Linked DNA regions of Stegostoma tigrinum. The protein of the gene in region 3 interacts with the protein of the main gene of each other region in a biochemical or structural test. Links are inferred from orthologs where the notes say so. Each region holds a gene or a part of one and is shown on either strand. Other genes may lie near its edges.

Region 1 (10,356 bases), on a different chromosome or scaffold from region 3:
TCAATCTGCCATGTACTTGCTCACTCATCAAGTCTGCCTCAAACTGCCTTGAAATAAGTTTGCATTTTCCTCACAACACACATTCCCACCTAGCTTTTTGTTCATCTGCAAACTTGGAAATACTTCATTTACCCCCATATCCAAATCAGTGTTTCATATTGTGAACCACTACAGCAACAAACACTGATTTTTGCTGTATACAGTACCAGGCACTGCCTGTCAATGCAGAAATAACTTGTTTATTCTTACTTTCAGTCTTTTGCCTGTTGTCCAACTCTGGATCCACACCAGCACATGACCATGTATTTCCATTTCGCTAACCAGCCTTGTGTGAGAGAATTTATCAAAAACATTCTGAAAATTCAAATATGCTACATTCACGGACTGCCCTTCAACGATTCTGCTTGTAACATTCTTCAAATATATCCTCACAAATCTACGTTATTTATGTCCAAACAAATTATTATCCAAGTGTCCATTTATCACATACTTCATAACAAATTTAAAGGTTAACAAGTCTGTATTTCCCAGTTTTCTCTTTCCCTTCCTTCTAAAACGCAGATAGCAGGGTAACATTGACCGTGTTTCAATTTGAAGGAACCATTCCAGAACCTATAGAATTTGGAACGTGACCAGCAGAGCACCCATATTTGCAATAATTATCTCTTTCAACATTCTGAAATGTGGAACTTTGGGACCCAGGAACTTAACCTTCAAAGCAATTCATTTCTCCAGTCTACTCACTAATACAAATCTTCTTCAATTCTTCATTCTTCTTTTCCCTTGAATTTCTAAGTCAGGGAGATTTATTGCTTTCCTTAGGTGAAGATAAATTATTACGTGGTATCTGACTTCTCTGCCATTTTTCTATTTCCCATTCATGACTCTCTCTGCAGTGGACCAAATTTGTCTTAGCTAATCATTTCCTTGAGATGTAGAAAATACGAGGAGGTCTCTTGGCCCTTGAGGCTGCTCTGCCATTCAATGTAATCATAAATGATTATTCAATGTTTTGACCTGAACCACCTTCTGTAGGAAAGAATTCCAGAGATTCACCTGTCTTTAAGTGTAGAAACCTCCCCACATCTCATTCCTAAATGGCCTACTTCATATCCCAAGACTGTGATACTTGGCCTTCAGGAACATCCTTCCTGGGCAGACCCTATTGAGTCATGTTAGAATTTTATAGGTTTCTAGGAGATACCCCTTCATTCTTCTATAGTCTGACCAATCCAGTCTCTCTTCATATGTCAGTCCTGCCATCCCAGCAGTCAGCTTGGTTAAACCATCACTGCACTCCCTACGGAGCCAAAACGTCCTTCCTTGAAAAAGGAGACTGAAACTGCACACAATAGTCTGGGTGCGATCTCACCAAGACGCTATACAATTGCAACAATACTTTCACTGTAACGTACTTTCACTTATTAGCTATACTTGGGTCACCCTTCCAGTATTATTTTACTGGATTTGGTGAGGGAATGCTTACATATAAAAAAAGATTAACACAAAGAAGACAGTCTTGTATAAAATTTCAGAATCCATTAACACAGGAAGTCATGACAGAAAAAGTACACTGCCAAGGTATTTGGGATATCATCACATGTTACGTGACTCAGTCAAACAGTTTCAACCTGATGTCTACAAATCAGAACCTTCTAAAGCTACAAGCATGATCTGATATCCTGTTTACAGGTTCAATTTAACACCACCCAGAAAAAAAATTAAACTGCATATCTGTTAAGCAGCATAAACATCAGGACATACTGAGATAAATATCATGAGTCAGGGTACATCACATTATAAATAAGTTCTGAATCTGAAATTGTTCTGCTTAGATCAATAGTAACGTCACATCACGGTTTGCCCAATTGAACTAGCTAAACAGAGTTCATGTGAACCCAAGGTGGCAGCAACACACTATAAAGTAAATATTTATATTTGTTATCACATTCTTCATATATAATACTACAGCTAACCAAACTGTTTATTTAAACCAGGAAACCTAGCTGCAAGGACAGAATCACTATTGCAAGGAGTCATTGCTGAACATTTTATTCAAAATACTAAAAAACAACATGGCATGGATAGAGGATTGGTTGACTAATAGAACTCAAAGAGTAGGGGTAAATGGGTGTTTTTCTGGTTGACAGTCAGTGGCTAGTGGTGTGTCTCAGGGATCAGCATTGGGACCACAATTGTTTACAAGTTACATCGATGATTTGGAGTTGAGGATTAAGTGTGGGGTGTCAATATTTGCAGATGACACTAAGATGAGTGGTACAACAAACTGTGCAGAAGACACTGAAAGTCTACAGAGGGATATAGATAGTCTAAGTGAGTGGGCAAAGGTCTGGCAGATGGAGTGCAATGTTGATAAGTGTGAGGTCATCCATTTTGGTAGCAATAATAGCAAAATGGACAATGTTGTAAATGGTAAAAAATTGCAGCATGCTGTCGTGCAGAGGGACCTGGGTGTCCTTGTGCATGAGTCGCTAGAAGTAGGATTGCAGGTGCAAAAGGCAAGTGGAATTTTGGGTGGAGTTTAAAAACAGGGAGGCTATGCTGCAGCCGTATAGGGTCCTGATGAGGCCACACCTAGAGTACCATGTGCAGTTTTAGTCTCCTTACTTGAGAAGATATATACTAGCACTGGAGGGGGGTGCAGAGGAGATTCACTTGGTTGATTCCAGAGTTGAGAGGCTGGCTTATGAGGGGAGACTGAGTAGACTGAAATTATACTCATGCGAATTCAGAAGAATGAGGGGTGATCCTATAGAAACACATAAGATTATGAAGGGAATAGATAAGGTGGAGGCAGGGAGATTGTTTCCACTAGCAATAGAAGGCATCACCTCAAAATAAAGGGAAGCAGATGTAGGACTGAGGTCAGGAGAACTTCTTCACCCAAAGGGTTGTGAATCTGTGAAATTCCCTGCCCAATGAAGCAGTTGAAGCTACCTCGCTGAATGTGTTTTAGGCAAGGCTAGATAAATTTTTGAACAGTAAGGAAATTACGAGTTATGGTGTGCTGGCAGGTAAGTGGAGCTGATCTTGATCTTATTGAATGGGGGGGCAGGCTCGAGGGGCCGAAAGGTCTACTCTGCTACTAGTTCTTACGTAACATAATAGTTTGAGCACATCATCCTATGTCTGCTACGGGAGGGGGCAAAGAGTGTATATGGGGTGGGGTGGGGTGGAGTGGGGAAGGAGTGTAGACTACGCAGATGGGGGTGAAACAGTGTAGACGGGGTGGGGGGGGGGGTTAAGCGGAGGAGTGTAGACGAAGGTTTGGGTGAAGATCGAAGATGCCGGGGGAGTGAAGATGCCAGGGGGTTGGGGGGGGGGGGGGAGATAGAAGTTGCGGGAGTGGGGGGGGTGGGGAGAAATGAAGATGCAAGAGCGGGGGGAGGGAAGTGACAATATCGGGGGAGAGCGGGGGTAGGGGAGAGAGAAGAATAGATGTTGGGTCGGGGACAGAGAACAGTAGATGCGAGGGCTGGGGAGAGACGACAAGTTGCGGTGGGGTGGGGGGGCGGCGCTGACAGGAGAAGAGAGGAGATGCAGACAGGGGGAATTGAAAAGTAGATGTGGGAGCGGGTGTAGAGTTGATTCAGGGCGGGGTTCACCCCCTCCCTACACATCACTAACCATAGCTTCCAGATCCGCCCACGTCGTCTTCTGCGAGTCACACACCAGGAAAGTTTGTGTATCGCCACCAAAGGTCACGTTCAGTTTGATTTGCTCCTCCATACCTCCACGGTGGGTGAGAAGCTGGCGTCCGCCCGATGACAATGATAGTGACAGTGACAGTAATTACTTTCCCCCCCCCTCGGCACCAGAGGCTTCTGTTTACATCAGAGCCCTGCAGTTACCCAGCATCCACTGCGGCCCAGGGTAAACACGGTCGCCCATTGGCAGCTAACCAGTCATCTGACAGGATGTGACGTCATGCATAACGCCTTTGGCCGGGGGATTACACACTATTCGTCAAAACAAATCAGAGACCGGATAAAATGTTGGATGTTGGACCGTCAGATGAAGGATCGTCTAAAACAATAAGTTGGCAGCTAGAATCTGGCGGGTATAAGTTAAAAGCTTGCAGCGTCGTCTTACGTCATTTTTTTAATACAAACGGTGCGCCTATGCGTGCACCGTCATTCCGGTGCGTGTCATGTCCTGTGACATGTGTGAGCGCGGGAGACCCAAAATATGGCGATGCTTCGAGCTGAGGGTAGTGCTTGAGATCACTGTCGCATGCTGCTTCAACTTTTCATTTCGTCCGGTATTTTATCTTTCTCTGATTAAAATGCGTGTGATTTTCTGTGTTTGTAGCAACGGACCCTAGCGGTATGTGTGTTTTTTTGGGAAGACTGGATTCTGGATGAATGGGGAGCGGGGAATGAATAGAACGTACCTTGCGATTCCACAGCGCCTTTGACATCTGCTGTTCCTTCCGAAACGTTTTAGAGTGATCGGTTTACAATGTGACTCCTGTTATAATGCAGAAAGCACAGGAGGTGCCTGAGCTCGGCAGATTCTCAACATAAGATAGTCACCATATCAGAGATAATGGGAACTGCAGATGCTGGAGAATTCCAAGATATTAAACTGTGAGGCTGGATGAACACAGCAGGCCAAGCAGCATCAAAAGCTGACGTTTCGGGCCTAGACCCTTCATCAGAGAGGGGGATGGGGAGAGGAAACTGGAATAAATAGGGAGAGAGGGGGAGGCGGACCGAAGATGGAGAGTAAAGAAGATAGGTGGAGAGAGTATAGGTGGGGAGGTAGGGAGGGGATAGGTCAGTCCAGGGAAGACGGACAGGTCAAGGAGTAGGGATGAGGTTAGTAGGTAGATGGGGGTGCGGCTTGGGGTGGGAGGAAGGGATGGGTGCGAGGAAGAACCGCTTAGGGAGGCAGAGACAGGTTGGACTGGTTTTGGGATGCATTGGTTGCGGGGGGAGGGGGAAGAGCTGGGCTGGTTGTGTGGTGCAGTGGGGGGAGGGGACGAACTGGGCTGGTTTTTAGGGATGCAGTAGGGGAAGGGGAGATTGTGAAACTGGTGAAGTCCACATTGATACCATATGGCTGCAGGGTTCCCAGGCAGAATATGAGTTGCTGTTCCTGCAACCTTCGGGTGGCATCATTGTGGCAGTGCAGGAGGCCCATGATGGACATGTCATCTAGAGAATGGGAGGGGGAGTGGAAATGGTTTGCGACTGGGAGGTGCAGTTGTTTGTTGCGAACTGAGCGGAGGTGTTCTGCAAAGCGGTCTCCAAGCCTCCGCTTGGTTTCCCCAATGTAGAGGAAGCCGCACCGGGTACAGTGGATGCAGTATACCACATTGGCAGATGTGCAGGTGAACCTCTGCTTAATGTGGAATGTCATCTTGGGGCCTGGGATAGGGGTGAGGGAGGAGGTGTGGGGGCAAGTGTAGCAAAGTGTGGAGCTGGATGAACACAGACCAAGTTGCAGCTTAGGAGCACAAAAGTTGACGTTTTGGGCCTAGACCCTTCATCAGAGGTTTTCTGATGAAGGGTCTCGGCCCGAAACGTCAGCTTTTGTGCTCCTAAGCTGCTGCTTGGTCTGCTGTGTTCATCCAGCTCCACACTTTGTTATTCCAAAGCTTAATTTATTTGTGCTGCTGTCTTTGTGATTGGACTTGAAATATGACGAGCCAAAAAAGTAGTAGTAATATGATAGCTGAATTTGTGTTTTGTCACTATTAATTAGTAATAGGAAGGACAGACACTGAGAATGAGTATGTTTCTTATTCCCTGGTTTTGAAGTCAAAGCAAGTGGAATTAAGTTTTTTTTATAACTATGGGTGCTATTTGTGAGAAGGTGGCAGTGTTAGAATGGAAAAAAAAACTTCAATCCATAGTCAATGAAATGCTTAAATCATATACACTTGGCACAATGGATTAATATATAGTTGTACTGTTAACAAGTTTGTGTGTTCCTGCATTTTACCACAGGACTGAGACCTTGAGAAATAAAAGTTGAATTGTGTAAAGCTGATTGCAAATCTGTGGAAGTAAGAGCAAAAACAAAACATTGTCGATGTTAATTTCAGATTTCCAACAATCCTGGAAAGACTCAGCAGGTCAGACAGCATTTGAAAAGGGAGAAACAGTTAAAGTTTCAAGTTAAGAACTTTTTGTTCGGATCAAGAGGTTACAATACTATAACAAAATTTTAAATAAACACAGGGAATAATAGTTGTTCAGGTTTCATTCCGATTCAGACTGGAGTAATCTTGAGATCCATCTCCTTGCTCTGCCCCTGAGAAAGTCTGCCATTGACACCCTATGAGGCAAAACCAAAATGCTCAGGATGATACTTCAGCTTATAATGAGCTGGGAGGGAGAAAGAAGGGGAATGTATGATCGTGTCTAAACGAACTAACAGGGATGATTATACAAGACAAAAAGTGATGGTGGTAGGGTAGCAAGATCAGAAGTCAAAAACAGTGGATGCGTGAGAGCTGAAATTGGCAGCATCAGGACCTGAAACAAAAATGGAAACGGTGATAATGACTGACCGTAAAATGTTAAAGCCAGTTTTAATTTTAAAAAGCTAATGATGAAATCTAAGATTTTTTTCATACATTCACATGATTGGGGCAGCACTAGTTCTTTATTGCCTTAAGGTGATGTGAGCTGCTTGCTTCAAACTTAGCCATTTGAAAGTATAGGAACACCCACAGTCCTGTCAGGAAGGATGTTCCAGGATTTTCACCTAGTAACAGCGAAGAAATCTCAAGTCAGAATGGTGTGTGGTGGGAACTTGCAAGTTGTGGTGTTTCATGGTGCACTGCTTCTTATGAGCACCACTCTGTTCTTTGCTCTCAGCATATGTGCTTGGGTCACAAATAGTTGTGACTATGCTAAATAATTCAATTCTGAGAAAGGGTCACTGGACCTGAAATGTTAACTCTGATTTTTCCTTCACAGATGCTGCCAGACCTGCTGAGCTTTTCTAGCAATTTCTAGATTTACATAGGATATCTGGGTGGCATGGATGAGTTGGACCAAAGGGTTTGTTTCTGTGCTGTACATCTCTGACTATTTCCACCCCCTGCTTTCTTTCCTTCAGGGTTTCAGAGATAATTCCAGTTCAAGAACACCTTCCTTGGATCTGATCATTCTCATCAAACTGGTCTTGTGCTGGGGAAAGCTAGAGTTTATTCATGAGCTGTTTAAGACAGATTTAAGGGCAGACCAAGAGCTGTGGGCATTTTTGTGGTTCCTGTTCATTGATTGTAGAATCCCTACAGTATGGAAACAGGCCATTCGGTCCAATGAGCCCACACCGCCCCTCTGAAGAACATCCCATCCAGACACATTCCCCTACCCCTACATTTCCCTTGTCGAACCCATCTAATCTAAACATCCCTGGACACTCTGGGCGATTTAGCATGCCCAATCCGCCTAGCCTGCACTTCTTTGGACTGTGGGAGGACACTGGAGCACCCAGAGGAAACCCACGCAGACACAGGGAGAATGTGCAGACTCTGCACAGTCACCTGAGGCTGGAATCAAACCCGGGTCCCTGGCACTGAGCCACTGCGCCATTCATGGAATATCATCTGATTGGCTTATGTTACTGCTGCAGTTCTTGGGTGAGGCTGATGGAGATAGCAAATTGTATTAGCCAATGATTAGTCCAGCAGTTGCAGATCCTGGCATGTCACGAGTGATGTGAACACCTCATGGTCCCTCAAGAGTAATAGCATGTGCTCAATTTTGTTCCTAAGGCAAGTGTGCTGCCATGAGGTCTTGAATTTATCTCTGTGACAAAAATAAATACTTGTTATAACCAGATTCTGCCCTGGCCAATTCCATCAGGAGGGCAATTCATTGACGGTTGCCTTCTTTGCCAGTCACCTGCTTTTTAAGAGATTTGTGTGTGGTAATGTAAACTGTGTAATTTGTGTATTTCAGTACCTTTTATGTTAGTTTGGCATATGGGGTTTTGAAATCTGTAGTTTAATGATGAGCTTTTAAGTGTTTCTGTAGCCAAGAGAGAGTTCTTGTGATCTAATTGAAGTTTATCACTGGGAGCAAAGTAAACAGTGTATGTTAAGCAGTTCAAATGTCTGTTTATTTGTTTGGTTTTTCTCCCCTCTTTTTTGATAGGGATGCTATCTGTAGCTTAAAGTTTTCGGGTTTCAGTTTGTCAGGTTTGCACAAGTCTAGCATGAAGCTAGATGTGTAAATCAGTTGCTCCTATAAAAAGGAGTTAACACTATTTAACAATTGTAATTGGTTTCAGTATAAAGAGTAATTTTCCAGGTTTCCAGACCAGAAGTGTTTGGTTAAAATCTTCAAGGAATTATGTGAAGCTGAAGAAGTCTAAGCTTAGTTGTGTGAAGAAACTGAGACCCAGGACAGGGAATTGATATCATAGCTAGGTCAAATCCTCAGTGGGAAAAAGAAAGCCATTGTCTCAGCTGTTTGAATATTGTAAAGAAATGTCATCAGGCTTTATGGGGTCACATTTTATCATGCGTTTCAAAATCTTTGTTATATGTAAATGGATGGTTTCTTCTATTTTATACTTTCTTTTGCCTAATACAGTTCTGCTTTATTGTTAAAAACATAAATCTGCAGCATTTGCCTGTTTTTGCTTTAACTGAAACAGCATTGCACTAAAACAAAAAGTCAAGCCAGACTTTAATCTAGAATTTGACTTGCCCAGCAAAATCATCCACTCAGATAATAACACCTATTCCTCGCAAATGCAGCACTGAATTTGAGGAGAATCATCATCTCTCTCTTTGAGACACAGGGCAAGACTGAGGCTGGAGTAGAATGCTACGTTGGCCTTGATTATTGTTCTTCAGCTTGTGGCCTATGCACTGCACTCTAAGTAAGAATGAGCCAAAGAATCCCAACAATTAAGGAGAGTCGGGGGGGCATTACAAAAGAGAAAGTGCTAGAAAAGCTAAAAGGTCTAAAAATTGATAAATCTCCTGGCCCCGATGGGCTACATCCTCGAGTTCTGAGGGAGGTGGCTGAGGAAATAGTGGAGGTGTTGGTTGTGATCTTTCAAAAGTCACTGGAGTCTGGGAAATTGCTGTTGTAACCCCCTTGCTTAAGAAAGGATCAAGACAAAAGATGAAAATTATAGGCCAATTAGCCTAACCACCTTTTTTGTTTTTCATTCAATTGCATTTAATTTAATCTGTGCCAACTCAAATTTCATCAGTCAACTAGCAATTGAAACTTGGTCACTTTCACTGAGAAGTTGACATAAGAAAGATATCCTCTTAGATAAAAACAGAAAGGCAGATGCTGTCAACCAGCAACAAAAGCAGAAGTTACTGCAAAAATTCAACAGGCCTGGCAGCATCTGTGAAGTAAAATCAGTTAATGTTTCAGATCTGGTGACCTATTCTGAGGAAGCATCACCGAACCCGAAAAATTAACTGATTTTTCTTCACAGACGCTGCCAGACCTGCTGAGCTTTTTCAGCAACTTCTGTTTTTATACCCTCCTACATAACCTAAAACATTCCTTACACAAAAGTGGTAGTGGAAAATACACAGTTAAAGAAGGTGCTTTTATTTTGTTCAGGTGGTATAGATAAGATGTCTTATCTGACAAACAGGGTAGAAACTGGATGATGCAGGCTATCAGGTATTTATACAACCCTCCTCTCCCATTTGTCATGCCAGTCCAGATAATGTAACTTCTCAGAACCTAGCTTCTTCTGGGTGGCTGTTTTTGTTACTAGACTCCTGTAGCTAGCAATGGCAATTTTTCTCTTTTTTTTTTCTAATGCACTGAGCTATTCACCTCGCATTTTAATACCACATCGAAATGCTTGATAACAAAACAAATCTTGAGTCATCCCACTGCCACTTTCAGAACAAACCCAGAATGAAACTTTAAAACCATGTCCCTTCCTCGTTGTGTATGTTGATGAAGTAACCCCCCACCTAAAAACTCCAAGCTTGTGCAGCATCTGCAAGATATATGCCAGAAGTGTGGTAAATGCTTCCCACTTGTTTGGATGGGTGCAGTTGTAGCATCATATCCACAAACATTTATTCTGTCTATCAATGATGCTCAGTAGCAGTAGTGTATGGGATCCACAAGATGCACTGTAGAAATTCACCAAGGCTGCTCAGCATCTTCCAAAGTTATGACCACGACCAACTGGAAGGAGCAGAGCAGCAGACACTTGGAAGCCCCATCATCTGACTTGGAAATGTATCACTGTTCCTGATGTGGACTGCAATGCTTTGAGAAAACGGCTCATTGTCACCAATGGCAACCAGAGGTGGACAGTAATACAGACCCCAGCCGGCAGCACCCATATCAATACATAAATTTTCAAAAAGTTAAAGCA
Region 2 (10,276 bases), on a different chromosome or scaffold from region 3:
GGAATAGAAAGGTATTCTGATTGTATGAGATTTAACAGAATGGGAGGAGGTTTGAGTGAAGGTAAAATACCAACAAAGTCTACTGAGCTGAACAACCTGCAATATCACCCACACCAATTTAGTGATAAAATGTAAAAAATAGAAAAATGCACTCAACCTGAAAATTATGGCAATACAATTTTACGCAAAAATGCACTAGTTGAAGTAGCAGTTGGAGACACTTAATTAAGGACATCTAGAACAGATTTACAAAAGGCAAAGGTAAGATTCTTAGCAGTGTAGATGAGCAGAGAGATCTCGGTGTTCATGTACACAGATCCTTGAAAGTTGCCACCCAGGTTGACAGGGCTGTTAAGAAGGCGTACAGTGTTTTAGCTTTTATTAATAGAGGGATCGAGTTCCAGAACCAAGAGGTTATGGAGAAGCTGTACAAAACTCTGGTGCGGCCGCACTTCGAGTATTGCGTACAGTTCTGGTCACCGCATTAGAAGAAGGATGTGGAAGCTTTGGAAAGGGTGCAGAGGAGATTTACTAGGATGTTGCCTCGTATGGAGGGAAGGTCTTACGAGGAAAGGCTCAGGGACTTGAGGCTGTTTTCATTAGAGAGAAGAAGGTTGAGAGGTGACTTAATTGAGACATATAAAATAATCAGAGGGTTGGATAGGGTGGATAAGGAGATCCTTTTTCCTAGGATGGTGACAGCGAGCACGAGGGGGAATAGCTTTAAATTGAGGGGTGAAAGATATAGGACAGATGTCAGAGGTAGTTTCTTTACTCAGAGAGTAGTAAGGGAATGGAACGCTTTGCCTGCAACGGTAGTAGATTCGCCAACTTTAGGTACATTTAAGTCGTCATTGGACAAGCATATGGACGTGCATGGAATAGTGTACGTTAGATGGGCTTCAGATTGGTATGACAGGTCGGCACAACATCGAAGGCCGAAGGGCCTGTACTGTGCTGTAATGTTCTATGTTCTATGTTTGATCAATCTAATAATTTTTTGATGCAATACCAGAGAAAAGTTTTGAAGGGAAAGTAGCAGATATTGCTCATACAGATTTAAAGTACTGAGAAAATACGATGTCAGAAACTGATTAATAAAATAAAGATTCGTGGAGCAGGCGAGTCAGTGTCAGTTTGGTTAAATATTGTTTAAGGTAGTCATGGTAAAAAATCATTTTTCAGACTGAAGGACAAATGAATGAGGTGGTAAATAATGAGGAGGATTGCCCTAGATTATAGGAGAATAAGGATAGGCTGTTAGCAGCAATTTGAACTCAATAAAAGGATGGTGATAGAGATAATAGGAACTGCAGATGCTGGAGAATCTGAGATAACAAGGAGTGGCGCTGGATGAACACAGCAGGCCAAGCAGCATCTTAGGAGCAGGAACGCTGATGTTTCAGGAGGGTCTATGCTGCGTGGCATGCTGTGCTCATTCAGCTCCACACCTTGTTATCAAAGGATGTTAATAGTTCAGATTAAGTGATCTCACATGAGAATCACTTAATGTGAACTATCAACATCCTTTCCCCACCCCACCCCCAAACTACTGCAAAAATTTTGCCCCATCGACATTTCACTTCAGGTCTGAAGAGTCACCTTGACTCAAAACATTAGCATGCTTTCTGTCCATGAATGCTGCCTGTCCCACTGTGATCGCCAGCATTTTTTTGTTATGAAGGGAAGGACCTTGTGTAGTACCAAGGATCAGTGGGAACTTGTTGTTCTTATCCACCAGGACGGTTATGTTGAAACGGCATAGACCATACTGTGCAATTTTGGAATTCCCATTTAACAAAGGCTATGTTTGGACTGGAGAGGCTGCAAAGGAGGTTTTTTACAATGTTATCTGGATTGGAAAGTTTTAGTTATGAGTAGAGATTGAATAGACTGGGTGAGTTTTCCTCAGAGTAGAGGAAACAGAAGGGGGTCATGATTGAGATGCATAAAATTATGAGAGACATAGATAAGGTAGAAAAGGAACATTTCCCCTTGGTGGAGGGATCAAAGATGGGGCCTTGGGTATAAGGTAACTCCAGAAGGAGATGGGAATCTGGAACACAGCTTGTAACTGTGTAGAAATCCTCATAACGTTTAAGAAGTACTTACATTAGTGAGGCAATGGCCTAGTAGTATTATTGCTAGACTTTTAGGATAAGGTAGGTCCTACAAAACCAAAATACAGATTTAACATCTGCTTCGAAGGGCCTGTACTGTTCTATTCTCTGGGAACCAATGATTTTCAGGAAAACAATCTAAATTTTAAGTGAGGACTTAATACCCAAATTTACTTCTGATAGAAAACTAGGTGATGATAAGTTGTCAGGATGACCAAAACAGGCTGCAAAGAGATGCCAACAGCTTGGATGGGCAACAAAAGCAGCTGGAACATTATGTGGCAAAGTTTGAGGTTATTCATTTTGGTCAGAGTAGAAAGGCAGAATATTTTTATTAAGCATCAGACTGGTAAATGTTGATATTCACCTGTACTCAGGTATCCTCATACAAGGAACACAGAGGATGCATATACATCAGGCAATTAGGAAGGCAAATGGTACACTGGCCTTTATTGCTAGGAAATTGCATATGGAAGTCTTGTTACAATTGTACTATGTAGAGCTTTGGCAAGACTGTACAAAGTATAGTACAGTTTTGATTTCCATGTCTAAGAAAGAAGTAAAGAAGATTCAAATAGGTTAATTTTTAGGATGGGAAAGCTGTATTCTGCCAAGAGGCTAAGCAACTTGGGACAATCTGCAGTTTCAGTAGAATGGAGAAGTTACCTCCTGGAAACATACAAGATTTTGCAGGGGCTTGGCAGGGTAAACTCAAGAGGTCTTTTGGGGAATTTAGAACACAGCAGCAGCAGCAGTTGAGGAGATCACACACACACAGCTATTTTCTACCCAAGGAAGTTCAGGATATGAATTGATTATATTCAAGGCTGGACTATTTAAATGTTTGATCCTCAAGAGAGAAAAGGTTAGGGCAAGGAGCATGGAATTGAGGTAGAAGATGCATTGCTGATGAAGGGTCTAGGCCTGAAACATCAGCTTTCCTGCTCCTAAGACGCTGCTTGGCCTGCAGTGTTCATCCAGCTCAACACCTTGTTATCACCAAATCACCAAGAGCAGGTTCTAATCATTAGTATCAGATTTTTAATTTCTAGAACTCTTTCCTTCCCCCCCCGCCCCCAAGGAAAACAGTGTCATTGACAAATCTTCAAAAAAAGGTGCACTGTGGTCTGTGACATCTTGGGGACCTGAACTACTGCACAACAAATTTACTCTTTCTTTTCCCAAAGAAATGTAATGACAGTGTGTTGCAAAGCATTACAACATCGTAAAGTTATCCCCGGCGATAAGGGAAATCAAAAAGAGAAATTCAGGATCAACTCCAGTACTAGAAATCAGGAACATAATCTCCCCGAATTAACTTCCTCCCAAATATTCATGTTTTTAAAGCTCCCCTCGACACCATTTCACCAAGACCAGAAACAAAACAATTTTAAAAACAAGCCTACAATGATAGTCACTTCTAGTTGGAAAACAACAAGCAGTATTTAAAAACACTGGAACTTCGATGCCCTTCTGAACTGACTTCGGGAACAACACGTACAAACATAAACTGAGTGAGTAGAGAGAAGAAAAAACTCTGTAAAAGTTTCATCTTCTTCCTGTAAACAACCACTGCATTTAATGCATCAAACGACCCGCCTCTGCCTCTACCCCCACCGCCCCCTCGACGTCTCCGAAAGGGGTTGTCACTACCTTCTGGGCGCCGACGGCTCCATCACTACGGTGACGCCTTTTAAACGTGCGACGGTTACAGTTTCAAACCGCCATGCTCGACTCGCCTGACGTCACTGCACGCGCCTCTCTCCCCCTCCCCTCCCCTCCCCTCCCCACCCCACCCCAAACCTTCCTCCTCCAAAACGGCAGCTGGTGACACCGGCGCCGTCCTCCTCCGCCCTCAGCCCGCCTCCTCGACCATCCCATTGGTCGGAACGCTATCGTGCCAGAAGTGCCGTCTGTGTGGCAGCGTCGAACTGTCAATCAGTTTGGGCAGTCACGATTCTCTGGTCACAGACTGTTCTTCCTCCTGCGCAGCCGCGACTAATCACGGTGGAGTCTAAGAGTCTTTGATGTCGTAGCTCGTAGCTGGCGGAGTCCTTGATTCCGTTTTAAACCGTTTGGTTATTTGAAGGGCACATATTAACGAGAAATCACATGGAAACAAATGCCCGTAACTTCAGTCATCGGGTGGTTTAACGAACTAGCTCTGACTGGCTTTATTCTGGGAGATGTCATCACGTTACCACTCTCCGCAGCTGGCCGTGCCCACCCAGATTGACCAACATGTCCATCTTCGGTGAGCAAAATAAAATCCTGAACAACTGCGGATGTTATAAATCAGAAACAAAAAACAGAAGTTGCTGGAAAAGCTCAGTGGGTCCAGCAGCATCTGTGAAGAGAAAGAAGAATTAACTTTTCGGATCCGGTGACCCTTCCTCAACTGATGGTAGCCAGGAAAATGTTGGTTTATATGCAGAAGATAGAGTGGGGGCAGAGCGTAAGGAGTAAACCATAGATGCGTATAGAGCCCGAAGAGAGAGGACAGTTGGACAAACAAAGGAGTGGATAACAATCTGGCTAGAAGGGTGAATAGCTTCTAACGGCTAACAATAGCTAGCGCACAATGGCAGACTATGTGGTAACAAGGCCTGCTTTGTGCGGTGAGGGGCGAGGACCTGGGGAAGTTCAGGCCCTGAAATTATTGAACTCTATATTGAGTCTGGAGGGCTTCAACATCCCCAAGTGGAAATTGAGGTGTTGTTATTCCAGCTTGCTCTGAGCTTCGCTGGAATGCTGCAGCAAGCCTGAGATGGAGATGTTAGCCAGGGAACAGTGATGTATTAAAGTGGCAGGCAACTGGAAGCTCAGGGTGACTTTTGCAGGCAGAACATAGATATTCTGTGAAGTGGCTGCCCAACCTACGCTTTGGGGAGACCACATTGTGAGCAACGAATGCAGTAGACTAGATTGAGTGAGAGAAGAGGTAAATGGGCAGACGTTACACCCATGGCGGTTGCAGGGGACGGTGCTGTTGTGAGTGAAGGAAGAGTGCACCAGGGTGTCTCGGAGAGAACAGCTCCTGCGGTAGGTGGACAAGGGAGGAGAGAGGAGGGGAATCTGTGTTTGGTGGTAGCATCTTGCTGGAGATGGCAGAAATGATGGATGATGATCTTCTGGATTTGAATGCTGATGGGATGGTAGGTAAGGACAAGGGGTACCCTATTGTTGTTCGGTGGGAGAAAAAAGCAGGTGTGAGGGAAGAAGTGCAGGAGCTGGTTCAGATCTGGTTGGGGGCCCTGTTGATAACGGTGCTGGGGAATCCTCAGTTGAGGAAGAAGGTTGACATTTCAGAGGCTCCCTGTGCAAGTTGGCCTCATCAGAACATGTGCGATGGAGATAGAGGAACAGGGAGAATAGAATGGAGTCTTTACACGAAGCAAGGTGTGAGGGTGTGTAGTCCAGGTAGCTGTGGGATTCAGTGGGTTTTCAGTGGATATTAATTGTCAAGTTATCCCCAGAAATGGAACTAAAGATATCAAGAAAGGGAGGAGTCAGAGATAGACCAGATGAAAGTGAGGGCAGGGTAAAAAATTAGAAACTTTTCCAATTCCAGATGAGAGAGGGAAGCAGCACCAACAATATCAATATATCAGAGAAAGAGTTGTGGGAGGGGTCTGGAGAGGATTGGAAGAAGGAATATCCCCCATTAAGAGACATTTATAATTGGGACCCATGACCACTTTTCTGACCTGAAGAAAATGAGAGGAATTAAAAGAGAAGTTGTTGAGAGTGAGGAGAGTCTCAACCAAGTGGAGGAGGCTGGTGGTGGGTGGAGATGCCTCAGGCCTTTGCTCCAGGAAGAAGTTGAAGACCCCTGAGAACATCCTAGTGGAGGATGGGGGTGTAAAGTTTACATGCATCTATGGTAAAAAGGAGGCGGCTGGAGTGTACAAACTGGAAATTCCAAAACTAGCATAAAGCATCAGAGGAATCATGGATATATATATGGGTAGGGACTAGACTCAGGGGAGAAAAGACTGAGTCAAGGTGGGAATAGATAGCTTTGTGGGGCAAGAGCAGGCCGAAACAATGGGTCAGCCCTGTTTGTGGATTTTTGGAAGAAGGTGGAAGCAAGCTGTGCAGCGTTGGCGGGCTATTAGCTTGGAGGCAGTGGGGAGGAGATCACCAGATGAAATGAGGTCTGTGACCATAGTTGATACAATGGCCTGATGTTCCATGTTGGGGGTCATGGTCCAGAGGAAGATAGGAGGAGGTATTTGACCCTCTGCAATGTAGAGGTCAGTGCACCAAACTACAACAGCACCCCCCTTAATAACAAAGTCAGGGTTGGATCTGAGCACAAAGAGTGCAGTCAGTTCAGAGGAGATAGGTTGGATTGGTTAAGGGAGGGGGCAGAGAAATTGACATCGACAATTCTCAGTGAACAGATCAAGTGCAGGTAAAAGGCCAGAAGGAGGGGTCCGGGTGGAGGGAGAGTGTTCGAGCTGGATGAAGGGGTCTGTGGGATGGGGAGAGGACTCTTGTCCAAAAAATGGCACAAAGGCAAAGATGGCAGAAGAAGAGTTGGATTTCATGTCATGCCTGAAGCTCATTAAGTGGGTCGCAGAGGGATAAAGCTGACACCTTTGCTGAGCACAGAATGTTTGAAGGTTGGGAGAGGTGGTGAATGCCCGACAGGTGGTCGGGTTTGAGGAAGAAATGGAGTCAGAGGGAAGGGGAGGAAAGGAAGGTTTCAGAGGGTCATGGGTATCTCTGAGCTGTTGCATCTCGTGAGCATTGATGCCTGAAAGGAAAAAAACACATTTCTTGTTCTGATGAGGCCAACTTCGACAAGGGAGCCTCCAAAATGTCCATCTTTTTCCTTTAATATATAGTATAAGGATTGCCTAGCACCATTGTCAACAGGGTCCTCAACCGGGTCCGACTCATCCCCCACACTTCTGCCCTCTCCCCCTTTCTTCCCTCCCACAACAGTGATAGGTTCCCTTTGTCCATACCTACCATCCCACCAGAATTCACATCCAGAAGATCAGCCACCATTCCTGCCACCTCCTACAAGATGCTACCACTAGATGCATATTCCCCTCCCTTGTCTGCCTACCACAGGGACTGTTCCCTCTGGGACATCCTAGTCCACTCTTCCTTCACTCTCAACACCACCCAACGGCCCCACGGCACCTTCCCTTGCAACCACCTTATGTGTAACACCTGCCCACTTACCTCCTCACTTCTCAGTATCTAAGGTCCCAAACACAACTTCCAGATTGTGCAGCAACTCACCTGCACTTCACACAATCTAGTCTGCTGCATTAGTTGCTTACAGTGTGGTCTCCTCCAAAGACTGGGTGACCACCTCATGGAGCATCTGTGTTCTGCCAGCAAACATGATCCTGATCTTCCAGTTTCCTGCCACTTTAACACACCACCTTGTTCCCTGGCTAACATCATTTAAAGGAAGGCTCACCGGACCCAACACATTAACTCTGATTTTTTCTCCACAGATGCTGCCAGACCTGCTGAGCTATTCCAGCAACTTCTGTTTTTGTTCTGATTTACAGCATCCGCAGTTCTTTCGGTTTTTATTTCTGTCGCAGGGCTGCTGTAGAGTTCCAGCAAAGCTCAGTGCAAACTAGAAGAAGTATACCTCATTTTCCACTTCGGGACCCTGAAGCCCTCCAGACCAAATATCAACTTCAATAATTTTAGGGCCTGAACTGTCTCATGTCCTAGCCCTCTACCCCAGACACCAGGCCTTGTATTACATAATCACACTATCACACACTATTGTTAGCCATTAACAGTTTCCATTAACAGCTATTCGCCCTCCTAGCCAGATTGTATCTCCTCCGTTATCCAACTGCTCTTCTCTCTCTTTGGGCTCTATCCAAACCTTTCGTTTACTCCTTCCCCTTCCCCCCAACCTATCTTCTGCATATAAACCAATATTTTGCTACCTACCATCAGTTCTGAGCAAGGATCACTGAACCAGAAATATTAAATCTGATTTCTCTTCACAGATGCTGCCAAACCTGCTGAGCTTTTCTAGCAACTTCTGTTTTTGCATGATCAGGGAGTCTGGCTTTCCCAATCGAAAAGAGGGTATGATTCTGAAATCAAGTTGTTCAGAGATGTTATAACAAAAATCTGGCGTAGGTGGAACTTTAACCCAGGCTTCCTGGCTCAGAGGCAGCAATATCAACACTGCACAACGAGAGTCCCTCACACTTCTATTTATTAATTCAGTATTGGAAATGGGGTGACCAGTTGTTTGAATGAATTGATTAATGCAAAGGTTGTTGTGCTGTAGTGTTGAAGGGTCTCTCTGATGAAAGGTCTAGGCCCGAAACGTCAACTTTTGTGCTCCTGAGATGCTGCTTGGCTTGCTGTGTTCATCCAGCTTCATACTTTGTTATCTTGGATTCTCCAGCATCTGCAGTTCCCATTATCTCTGTGCTGTAGTGGTAATGTCCCTGCCTCAGAGATAGAATACTTGGTTCAAGCCCCACCTGCTCCGGAGGTGTGTTATAACACATCTGAACAAGTTGATTACAAGTATCAAAATAAGAGTATTAAAATAATTTATTTCAACAAGATTTTTTTATGTTCCCTTCAATGACAGCAATGCCCACATCCTATGAATGAATTTTTTAAAAAATCAAATGATATACTGTAGGGGTCAAGATCCCACTGCTGGATCATGTGTCATTGCCGTGAAAAGGCTGCCAAGATCATCAAAGGCCCATTCCATCTTGGTAATGCTCTCTTACAAACTCTTCTATCAGGTAGAAGATACAGGAACATGAACAACTGCACCAGCAGGTTCAAGAATAGCTTCTTCCCAACTGTTATTAGACTGATGAATGGATTCTAATTTTGAATAATGCTGTTCTTGTTAATGTTTATCATGCCTCGTGCACTTCCTGTGCAGTGTAACATGTATTCCCGACTCTGTCCAGGTTTTGTTTTTCACTCACTGATCTGTATATTCGTGCTTGCTCCGATCTGCCTGTACTGCTCACAGTCAAAGCTTTTCACTGTACTTAGGTACACATGACAATAAATCAAATCAAATCAATGAAGGAAGAGATGATATAAACACTCAGTTTACTGATGACACAAAAATAGGTAGGTTGTAAAATAAGTAAGTTGTGAAGAGGATTTAAGTGGCTACAAAAAGATACTGATAAGTAGGTTAGCAAAGATCTGACAAATGTAATACATTGTGCAGAAATGTAAAATTGTTCGTATTGCTGGAAGAATGACAAAGAGACAAGTTATTTAAATAGTGAAAGATTGCAGGGTTTACAGGTTCACAATAATCGGGATTCCTAGTGCATGAATCATAAAAGGTTAGTGAGCAGGTACACAAGTAATTAGGAAAGCTAATGGGGTGTTGTAATTTATTCTGAGGGGAATGGAATACAAAAGTAGGAAGATTATGCTTCAATTATACAAGACACATGTAAGACCCGTATCTAAAGTACCATATACAGTATCGGACATCCTACTGAAGTAAGGATGTAAATATATTAGAATACGTTCAGAGGCTCACTGTAGTAAATGTCTAGAATGGGTGGATTATGAGGAAGGTTGTGATCAGAGATAATAGGAACTGCAGATGCTGGAGAATCCAAGATAACAAAGTGTGGAGCTGGCTTGGCGTGCTGTGTTCCACCAGCTCCACACTTTGTTATGACGAAGATTGGACAGGTTAGGCTTCTAGTCACTGGAGTTCAGAATACTAACAGGAAATTTGATTAAAACCTGTAAAATCCTTGGCTTGGGGGGGGAAGAAGTTCCTCATGGGAGAATCTAGAATTAAGGGTCAACAATCTTTGGAACTTGCTTCCTTAAAACGCATGGAGGCAGATTCTTTTAATATTTTTAAGATAGAGGTGGATAGATTGATGATAAGCAAGAAGGTAAAAGGTTAAGAATGGGATAGGTGGCAATGTGAATTTGAGCTTCATCTAGATCAGCCATGATCTTATTAAATGGGGGAACAGGATAGTGAGGCTGAAAGTCCTACTCATGCTCTTTGTTTTTTTGTTCACAGACCATATCTAGTACTTACCACTAATTATAATACAGAACATAAAATTACACAAGTTAGAGGCAAAATTAGATTATTTAGCCTTCGACCTTGCCCTGCCATTCAATGATGACCCATTATTTCA
Region 3 (10,262 bases):
TTCATTCAACTTTCATTCTAGAGTTCGAAGTCACCTCATGGGCTGAAAGTTTCCCGTGAATGGAATGAGCCCTGTACAAGACCAACCAAGTGTGATAACTTCACCACAGCATGGCATTCTACTTTGCTAGAAATTAAACCTTCCCAGCTTCAAAAAAACAAGCCACAGGAAAGTGGCAATTCATTGAGCATAGTGAATCAAAAAGGACGTTCCAAACTTCGAATCAATCCCCCTTCCTGCTAAAAGGGGGAAGGGCAGCAGCTGGATGTGAACAAGTTCAGCTCCAAACCCCACTTGAAAATATAATCAGCTGTTCCTGCTTATAACCCCTAGTGTGGAGGCAGGCCCTTCGGCCCACTAAGTTCACTGGAATGCCAACTGAAGCCTCTTTTCACACTGACCCTCAGAGCACCCCACCCAGATCCATCCCCACACTAGTCTACACCTTCTTGAACACCACAGGCCTACCTAGCACAGCCAATCCACCCGAGCCTGCACATCTTTGGACTGTGGGAGGAAACTGGAGGAAACCCACGCAGACACAGGGAGAATGTGCAAACTCCACACAGACAGTCAACGGAGGGTGGAATCGAACCTGGGCCCCTGGTGCTGAGAGTCAGCATGCTGTCCTAATCATCTCACCCACATATCCCTGTAGCTGTGCATTTCACACACTAAAAACAGGACACACTGTGGCAGGGAGATGGGGGGGTGGTGGGAGTTAGAGCTGCATTAGAGATAGGTGGAGATGTTTCAGGGATGCAAGGTTCCTCTGCTGTCAATGGTCAGGACAGCAGACATTGCAATGTAGAAAAAGGATTCAGTTGGAATTCCAGAACACAGGTCAAGGAAAGCTTTGGAGAAGGTTACAGAAAAAAAAAGTGTAGAATTGGGAAGTGGTCTGGGAGGAATTGAAAACAAGTGGAGAATTTCAACATTCAGGTGTTGCCTGATTCAACAGGGGGTGGGGGGGAAGGAAACAGGAAAACAAGACCATTAGCTTGAGAACTAAATTGCCAGAGATTGATGAGACTTAAAGACTGAATTTGGATAATCAAGTCAGTTGGGCATCATCCTGATTAGAGGCAAAATAGGGGCAGGAGTGAGGATTTCAGCAGATGAACTGGGAGACAGGGTGTCCTTAGGGACATCAGGCACTTATCTCAGGGGCCAAGCGTGACACAAAGACTGCAAACAGACCAGATTACTCACGGGCAGCTGGTAAGGAGAGGGATCAGAACCGAAGGCTTCAGTCCCAATAAATCCACATGCCACTAAATAATCCCCATTATCTGTCATCCTCCCAAGCCACCTTATCCACTCCTCTGGGCTCTGTCTCCACCTATCACTTACTCCTCAACCACCCTCCCCCCTTTATCTTATGCATAAAATTTGACCTTTTCCTAGCTACTAGTCCTGAAGAGGTGGTTACCGGACCCAAAACATTAACTGATTTCTCCTCCACAGATGCTGCCAGACCCACTGAGATTTTTCAAGAGGCCAATCAGTCAGTCGCTACAACTCAGCCCCCTCCCCAGTGTCCTAAAGACCATCCAGGGTATTGGGAAGCCCTACACATCTCCCCCTCCCTCAAGCAGGTGCCCACTCTTTCCTCCCCATGACCTCTAATCCTTGGGAGGAGAGCAGTGGTTATGGGAGATTTAACAGGGTCAGCTGTACCTGATAATGATCATGAACTGACATAGGCTGAGTTCCAGAGGTACAAGGTATTTTGACCTGTCCAAATGAGGTAGGGATCGCTCCTTTGGGTATCGTTCCACAATCACCTGAGAGATAGAGATATCAGGATACACACATTCAAAATGCCATGAACAGTCACTAAATGCCAACTCTATCTGCAGGGGCCAAAAATCCCCATTTACTCCCATTCCACCTCCTGTAGGATTAGCCAAATGGATAGGAAAAACTGGAATCCACTACTATTCTGGGGGAAAGAGGTCACTTGACCAGCTTTTCAGTATCCTGGCCACAAGAGCCAGTCAGAAGTTGGGAATCCTGCCATGAGTAACCGATCTCTTGACTCCCCAAAACCTGTCCGTTGCAAGGCAAGGGTGGGATGGAATACTCCCCACTTGCCCCTGGATGGGGGCAGCCCCAACACTCAAGAAACTCAATACCATCCAGGACAAAGCAGCCCCCCAAGTTGGCACTCAGTATTACATACCACCTACAAAAGATGCATTGTAAGATCTCAAAACTCCTTAGATAGCACCTTCCAAACCTATAAGCTCTACCATCTACAGAATCCATCCCCTGTGCATTCCCCTCTGAGCCATGCACCGTCCTGACTTGGGAACAGGAATCCAGCCTCACTGGGACAAAATCCTGGAACACCGTGGAATGATACCGTGAAGGCAGCTCAGCAGCACCTCCTCTGGGCGCATTAAAACACTGTCCCAAACCACATTCGTTACTTGAACTGAAAATGATTCGTTTCAAGGGCAAAAAGTTGGATCAGGTTGTAGGTTTGGAATCGCAAATAATGATGGCAGATTTCCTTCCCTTAAAAGGAAAGGGGGGGCATTAGGTGACCCAAAAGAGGTTTGAAAATCAAGTCATTGTGGCTCTAACTTTAATATGTTCCAGGTTTATTACTGACTCATTCCGTAAGTGGAATTTTGACTAAGTCTCTCCCTGAGGGATCTGTTTATTTCTCAAGGCATTGTACGGAACACCTCAGAAGGTGACAGTTCCCAGTTTCTTTTGGGGGGGCGGGGGTGGTGGTGCTAGAAACAAGGCAAACATTAGCTTTAATAAGTCCTGGAGTTTTTAAATACAAGCAGATTTGGTTATTCACTTGATGTTTAAATTCTAATACCCTGGTGTTGAATAAAAACACAGGAAAGATTGTTATCCGGGAAGAGTATCGTCCTAGTAAATACGCACTTATCCGAGTGTAGCGTGTTCTGGCTGGTGCAAAGTTACATATTAAAAACAAGCAAACGTCATGGCGTTAACAAGTTCTCTGTAGTGAGGACCTAACAGGTTTAGAGTCGTGCACAGAGGGTAGACTTAATCGATTATTCTTTTCACATTTGCAGAAGGGAAGGGATTTAAACTAAGAAAAAGCAAGGAGGATCACATTGCAGCTGTACACCGTTTCCTGGCACACTAACCGCCCCCCCTTCCACCTCTCAACATTTTAAATAACAATAATAAAAGCTTTTTGACTGACCGGTAGCTTGTTGGGGTACTTCCTGCGGATGTTAATTACTTCACTTCTCCTGAAAGCTTAAGCAAAACAAAATAAACAACAAAAAAAACAAACAAACGTGAATAATTTGATTTCTAAACAAAATTCTGAAGTGACTGAAAAGAGAAGCAAGTTTAAACAAAAGGCGTTTAGAACTAGATTTAAAAACAGATTGGAAATAGAGTGGAATTGACGCGTGCATTTCATGATAAGGAAGATTTTCCTAAAAAGAATAAAACCCCTCACCCAAACTACGCCTCTCCTTGAAGGGTCTACAATCCAGGGTCCTCTCTGAGGGAGCCATGCCTTTCTCCAAAAGAAACTTTTCTCCCTTCCCAACAGGGAACAAAAATGCTTTCGTTGCCCCTCCTCAGCCACCAGCCCGCGTGTTTTAACATCCCGTCCAAGCAACCCCAATCTTCACTCTAAATTAACCAGTTAAACAGTCGGGCATCGACAATAAGATTTACTTAAGCCATTAGTTTCTGCTGGAGTATTGTTTCAGGTCGATCAGTCTTGCTTTAAGGGGCGTTTACCAATTAGTCTTGTTTCAAGTAATTAATTTATTTACAAAAACAGAAATGGCTGGAAAAGCTCAGTGGATTTGGCAGAACATAGAAACGATGTTGTGCCGAACTTTCACTCCAAACCTAAGGTCTATCAGACCCCCACCTCTACCTTATACTATCATCCTTATGCCTATCTAATAGCCACTTTAATGCCCCTAATGAGGCCGACTCCACTACCCTCTCCGGCAATGCATTCCACACCCTGACCATTCTCTGAGTAAAGAACCTACCTCTGACGTCTCCCCTATATCTGCCCCCATTCACTTTAAAACCATGCCCCCTCGTAATAGCTACCTCCACCCTCAGAAAAAGTGTCTTGCTGTCCACTCTATCTACACCTCGGATCATTTTGTACACCTCTACCAAGTCACCTCTCATCCTTCGTTGCTCTAAAGAGAAAAGCCCTAGCTCTCTCAGCCTTTCCTCAAAATTCTGAGGAATGGCCACTGGACACGAAATGCTAACTCTGCTTTCTCTACACAGATGCTGCCAGACCTGCTGAGTTTTTCCAGCAATTTCTGTTTCTGACTTCCACACGTCTTACGGTTTTAGTTAATTTGTTACATTTCATTGAAGGTCAACTAGAAGTTCGTTGAAGGATCTGGTGTGATGATGGTGTGGTTTCCTGTAGAATGTGGGGCTCACAGTAGGGAAGCGGCCATTCAGCCTGTCCTGCGAGGAAGATATACCCAAATTGTAGCCCCAGCATCTCCCCTACTCTTTTTACGCAGCACCTGAGCACTGACCCTCCGACAGTGCCCACTCCCTCAGCACTGACCCTCCGACAGTGCCCACTCCCTCAGCACTGACTCTCCGACAGTGCCCGCTCCCTCAGCACAGACCCTCCGACAGTGCAGCACTCCCTCAGCACTGACCCTCCGACAGTGCCCGCTCCCTCAGCACGGACCCTCCAACAGTGCCCGCTCCCTCAGCACTGACTCTCCGACAGTGCGGCGCTCCCTCAGCACGGACCCTCCGACAGTGCAGCACTCCCTCAGCACTGACCCTCTGACAGTGCCCGCTCCCTCAGCACTGACTCTCCGACAGTGCCCCCTCCCTCAGCACTGACCCTCCGACAGTGCCCACTCCCTCAGCACTGACCCTCCGACAGTGCCCACTCCCTCAGCACTGACTCTCCGACAGTGCGGCGCTCCCTCAGCACGGACCCTCCGACAGTGCCCGCTCCCTCAGCACTGACCCTCCGACAGTGCCCGCTCCCTCAGCGCTGACCCTCCGACAGTGCCCGCTCCCTCAGCGCTGATCCTCCGACAGTGCGGCATTCCCTCTGGACAAGGATTGTGAGCCTGGATGAGGAAGCAGAAATTCCCAAGAACTCTCTGTCTGTGAGGTGGGAGTAAGTTAGTCATTTTGGAGAGGAGTGGATTGTGGGGAGTTGTAGTCTATCGCTTCCTACATTTCTTTACCAGTTGTGATTCTGCTTGAATGATGCAGCATCTTGTCACTAACAGCCTAATACTGCTGATAAGATTCTGGTTGCAAAGCTGGGACCTTCCTGTGCAGTTTCCTATAGCCTTGTACTTCCATTCTGCCCCTTCCAATCCAACTGCTGATACCTCCCCGTTCCCAACATAATAACAGGTAGTGAATATTCACCAACACCTTCATTAACACCTCCCACCCCAACTTTAAGTTCACCTGGACCATCTCTAATACCTCTCTCTCCTTCCTGGACCTCCCTGTCTCCATCTCAGGCAACCACCTAGAAACTGATGTCCATTTCAAGCCCACTGACTCCCACGGCTACCTAGAATACACCTCCTCCAACCCACCCTCCTGCAAAAATACTATCCCCTATTCCCAATTCCTTCGCCTCCGCTGCATCTGCTGCCAGGATGAGGCATTCCACTCCCGAACATCTCAGATGTCCTCGTTTTTCAAGGACTGCAACATACCCCCACAGTGGTTGAGAACACCCTCAACCGTGTCTCCCTCATTTCCCACAAGTCATCCCTCACACCCCGTCCCCACAATAACAACCAAAACAGAATCTCCCTCGTCCTCACATACCATCCCACCAACTTCCGGATCCAACGCATCATCCTCCGACACTTCTGCCATCTACAATCCGACCCCACCACCAATGACATTTTTCCATCCCCACCCCTGTCTGCATTCCGAAGGGATCACTCTCTCCATGACTCCCTTGTCCGCTCCACACTCCCCTCCAACCCCACCACAACCCGGCACCTTCCCCTGCAACCGCAGGAAATGCTACACTTGCCCCCACACCTCCTCCCTCACCCCTATCCCAGGCCCCAAGATGACATTCCACATCAAGCAGAGGTTCACCTGCACATCTGCCAATGTGGTATACTGCATCCACTGTACCCGGTGTGGCTCCCTCTACATTGGGGAAACCAAGCGGAGGCTTGGGGACCGCTTTGCAGAACACCTCCGCTCAGTTCGCAACAAACAACTGCACCTCCCAGTCGCAAACCATTTCCACTCCCCCTCCCATTCTCTAGATGACATGTCCATCATGGGCCTCCTGCACTGCCACAATGATGCCACCCGACGGTTGCAGGAACAGCAACTCATATTCCGCCTGGGAACCCTGCAGCCCAATGGTATCAATGTGGACTTCACAAGCTTCAAAATCTCCCCTTCCCCCGCTGCATCCCAAAACCAGCCCAGCTCATTCCCGCCTCCCTAACCTGTTCTTCTTCTCACCTATCCCCTTCTCCCACCTCAAGCTGCACCCCCATTTCCCACCTACTAACCTCATCCCGCCCCCTTGCCCCATCTGTCCTCCCCAGACTGACCTATCCCCTCTCTACCTCCCCATCCATACTCTCCTCTCCACCTATCTTCTCCTCTATCCATCTTCAGTCCATCTCATCCCCTTCCCTATTTATTTCAGAATCCCTTTCCCCTCCCCCATTTCTGATGAAGGGTCTCGACCTGAAACGTCAGCTTTCCTGCTCCTCTGAAGCTGTTTGGCCTGCTGTGTTCATCCAGCTCTACACCGTGTTATCTCAGATTCTGCAGCATCTGCAGCCCCTACTATCTCCTGTGAATATTCTCATCCTCTCAAAGACTGCAGCAGATTGAGGGGAGTGCTGCTCCACCACACCACCCGGTGGCTGCAGCCTGCAACTGCAGTGTGACGGTTTACATAAATAAATCAAACTGTGATGTGCAGATTTTGACAGAGGAGGGAGGTTGTGACACATTAGTAAATACTGTGCTTCTGAGCCAGGAGGCCTAATTTGAAGACTCGTCTGCCCTGGAGCTGAGTCATATCTGGTTTTAAAAAATTATAACGGCATCCCTTGAGAATACACTGCCCAAACAACATGGACAGTCCTCCTACTCAGAATGTTTCCTTTGGCACTAAGCAGTTAACACCTCTCTGTGTGCAGCACAACCTCACCTCTTGGATGGGGACACAAAATAACAATGGGTTAGCAGAAAGGACACCATTCAGCCAGGATCTGATCAAGGGTCCCAACCCAAAACGTCCACTTTCCTGCTCCTCCAATGCTGAATGATTTGCTGTGTTCCTCCAGTTCCTCTGAGACCATTCAGTATCCTACTTTGTGTCTTTCCCACTGTTGTGTGAGCGCCCAGGACTGTTATATCCCCACAGGATACCCTAGGGCAGTGCAGGGCAGCATGGTGGCTCCGTGGTTAGCAGGTACTGCCTCACAGTGCTCTGGGTTCAATTCCAGCTTTGGACACCTGTCTGTGAGGGAGATAGTAGGAGCTGCTGATGCTGGAGAACCTGAGACAACAAGGTGTAGAGCTGGGTGAACACAGCAGGCCGAGGAGCAGGAAAGCTGATGTTTTGGTTCTGGACCCTTCTTCAGAAGCCTGTGAGGGAGTTTTGCACATTCTCCCGTGTGTTTCATCTAAGAGCTTCCACCAGACCAAAGGTGTGCAAGCTAGGGTAGATTAGCTATGCTGTAGTGTGCGCGGTGGGATGCCCTTCAGGGGCCCAGGCTGGGCCAAATGACCGCTACCTGCACTGTAGGCATTCTATGAGTTGGGGATGGGGCCAGTCATAGGAAGAAATGTAGACTATTCAGCCCATCAAGCTTGGCCCAGATCTCTGAATAAAAGGGAAATAAAAGTCTTAAATAAATTTCTCAATAAGGAAATAATTTATCCCAGATTTAAAATTGACAACTGGCTCCCACATCCTCCACTGTTTGGGAAAGAGAGTGTATGTGGTGTGTGGGAGGATGTCACCTCCACACACCCCCAGCCCCAACAAACACAGGGCGGCTCGGTGGCTCAGCGGTTAGCACTGCAGCCTCACAGCGCCAGGGACCCGGGTTCGATTCCAGCCTCAGGCAACTGTCTGTGTGGAGTTTGCACATTCTCCCCGTGTCTGTGCGGATTTCCTCCCACCGCCCAAAGATGTGTGGGTTAGGGTGGATTGGCCGTGCTAAATTGTCCCATAGTGCCCAGGGATGTGCAGGTTAGGGTGGATTGGCCGTGATAAATTGTCCTATAGTGCCCAGGGATGTGCGGGTTAGGGTGGATTGGCCATGCTAAATTGTCCTATAGTGCCCAGGGATGTGCGGGTTAGGGTGGATTGGCCGTGCTAAATTGTCCTATAGTGCCCAGGGATGTGCGGGTTAGGGTGGATTGGCCGTGCTAAATTGTCCTATAGTGCCCAGGGATGTGCGGGTTAGGGTGGATTGGCCATGCTAAATAGTCCTATAGTGCCCAGGGATGTGCGGGTTAGGGTGGATTGGCCGTGCTAAATTGTCCCATAGTGTCCAGGGAGGTGCAGGTTAGGGTGGATTGGCTGTGCTAAATTGTCCCATAGTACCCAGGGATGTGCAGGTTAGGGTGGGATGGCCGTGCTAAATTGTCCCGTAGTGCCCAGGGATGTGTGGGTTAGGGTGTATTGGCCATGCTAAATTGTCCCATAGTGCCCAGGGATGTGTGGGTTAGGGTGGATTGGCCGTGCTAAATTGTCCCATAGTGCCCAGGGATGTGCGGGTTAGGGTGGATTGGCCATGCTAAATTGTCCCATAGTGCCCCGGGATGTGTGGGTTAGGGTGGATTGGCCGTGCTAAATTGTCCCATAGTGCCCAGGGATGTGCGGGTTAGGGTGGGTTGGCCGTGCTAAATTGTCCCATAGTGCCCAGGGATGTGCGGGTTAGGGTGGATTGGCCGTGCTAAATTGTCCCATAGTGCCCAGGGATGTGCGGGTTAGGGTGGGTTGGCCGTGCTAAATTGTCCCATAGTGCCCAGGGATGTGTGGGTTAGGGTGGATTGGCCGTGCTATATTGTCCCATAGTGCCCAGGGATGTGTCGGTTAGGGTGGATTGGCCGTGCTAAATTGCCCCATAGTGCCCAGGGATGTGTGGGTTAGGGTGGGACTGGCCGTGCTAAATTGTCCCATAGTGCCCAGGGATGTGTGGGTTAGGGTGGATTGGCCGTGCTAAACTGTCCCATAGTGTCCAGGGATGTGCAGGTTAGGGTGGATTGGCCGTGCTAAATTGTCCCATAGTGCCCAGGGATGTGCGGGTTAGGGTGGGTTGGCCATGCTAAATTGTCCCATAGTGCCCAGGGATGTGCAGGTTAGGGTGGATCGGCCGTGCTAAATTGTCCCATAGTGCCCAGGGATGTGCAGGTTAGGGTGGATTGGCCGTGCTAAATTGTCCCATAGTGTCCAGGGATGTGCGGGTTAGGGTGGATTGGCCGTGCTAAATTGTCCCATAGTGCCCAGGGATGTGCGGGTTAGGGTGGGTTGGCCGTGCTAAATTGTCCCATAGTGCCCAGGGATGTGCGGGTTAGAGTGGATTGGCCGTGCTAAATTGTCCCATAGTGTCCAGGGATGTGCAGGTTAGGGTGGATCGGCCGTGCTAAATTGTCCCATAGTGCCCAGGGATGTGCAGGTTAGGGTGGGTTGGCCGTGCTAAATTGTCCCATATTGCCCAGGGATGTGCGGGTTAGGGTGGATTGGCCGTGCTAAATTGTCCCATAGTGCCCAGGGATGTGCAGGTTAGGGTGGGTTGGCCGTGCTAAATTGTCCCATAGTGCCCAGGGATGTGCAGGTTAGGGTGGGTTGGCCGTGCTAAATTGTCCCATAGTGCCCAGGGATGTGCAGGTTAGGGTGGGTTGGCCGTGCTAAATTGTCCCATAGTGCCCAGGGATGTGCAGGTTAGGGTGGATTGGCCGTGCTAAATTGTCCCATAGTGCCCAGGGATGTGCAGGTTAGGGTGGATTGGCCGTGCTAAATTGTCCCATAGTGCCCAGGGATGTGCGGGTTAGGGTGGATTGGCCGTGCTAAATTGTCCCATAGTGCCCAGGGATGTGCGGGTTAGGGTGGATTGGCCGTGCTAAATTGTCCCATAGTGCCCAGGGATGTGCGGGTTAGGGTGGATTGGCCGTGCTAAATTGTCCCATAGTGTCCAGGGATGTGCAGGTTAGGGTGGATTGGCCGTGCTAAATTGCCCCATAGTGCCCAGGGATGTGTGGGTTAGGGTGGGACTGGCCGT

The links.
Region 1: the proteins of microtubule-associated proteins 1A/1B light chain 3C (region 3) and nbr1a form a complex in vitro, tested with the Homo sapiens proteins (2 studies listed by IntAct). The link is inferred for Stegostoma tigrinum from reciprocal best matches to the Homo sapiens genes MAP1LC3C and NBR1.
Region 2: the proteins of microtubule-associated proteins 1A/1B light chain 3C (region 3) and stk3 form a complex in vitro, tested with the Homo sapiens proteins (2 studies listed by BioGRID and IntAct). The link is inferred for Stegostoma tigrinum from reciprocal best matches to the Homo sapiens genes MAP1LC3C and STK3.

The regions. Positions count from the first base shown.
Region 1 is NC_081384.1:16,098,456-16,108,811, reverse strand, and holds the start of nbr1a (NBR1 autophagy cargo receptor a), read right to left. Parts: upstream 3,888-10,356; 5' UTR 3,751-3,887; coding exon 3,649-3,750; intron 1-3,648. UniProt on the Homo sapiens protein: Ubiquitin-binding autophagy adapter that participates in different processes including host defense or intracellular homeostasis.
Region 2 is NC_081358.1:121,913,498-121,923,773, reverse strand, and holds the start of stk3 (serine/threonine-protein kinase 3), read right to left. Parts: upstream 3,888-10,276; 5' UTR 3,797-3,887; coding exon 3,774-3,796; intron 1-3,773. UniProt on the Homo sapiens protein: Stress-activated, pro-apoptotic kinase which, following caspase-cleavage, enters the nucleus and induces chromatin condensation followed by internucleosomal DNA fragmentation.
Region 3 is NC_081395.1:6,214,034-6,224,295, reverse strand, and holds the start of microtubule-associated proteins 1A/1B light chain 3C, read right to left. Parts: upstream 3,725-10,262; 5' UTR 3,519-3,724; coding exon 3,461-3,518; intron 3,253-3,460; coding exon 3,197-3,252; intron 1,788-3,196; coding exon 1,681-1,787; intron 1-1,680.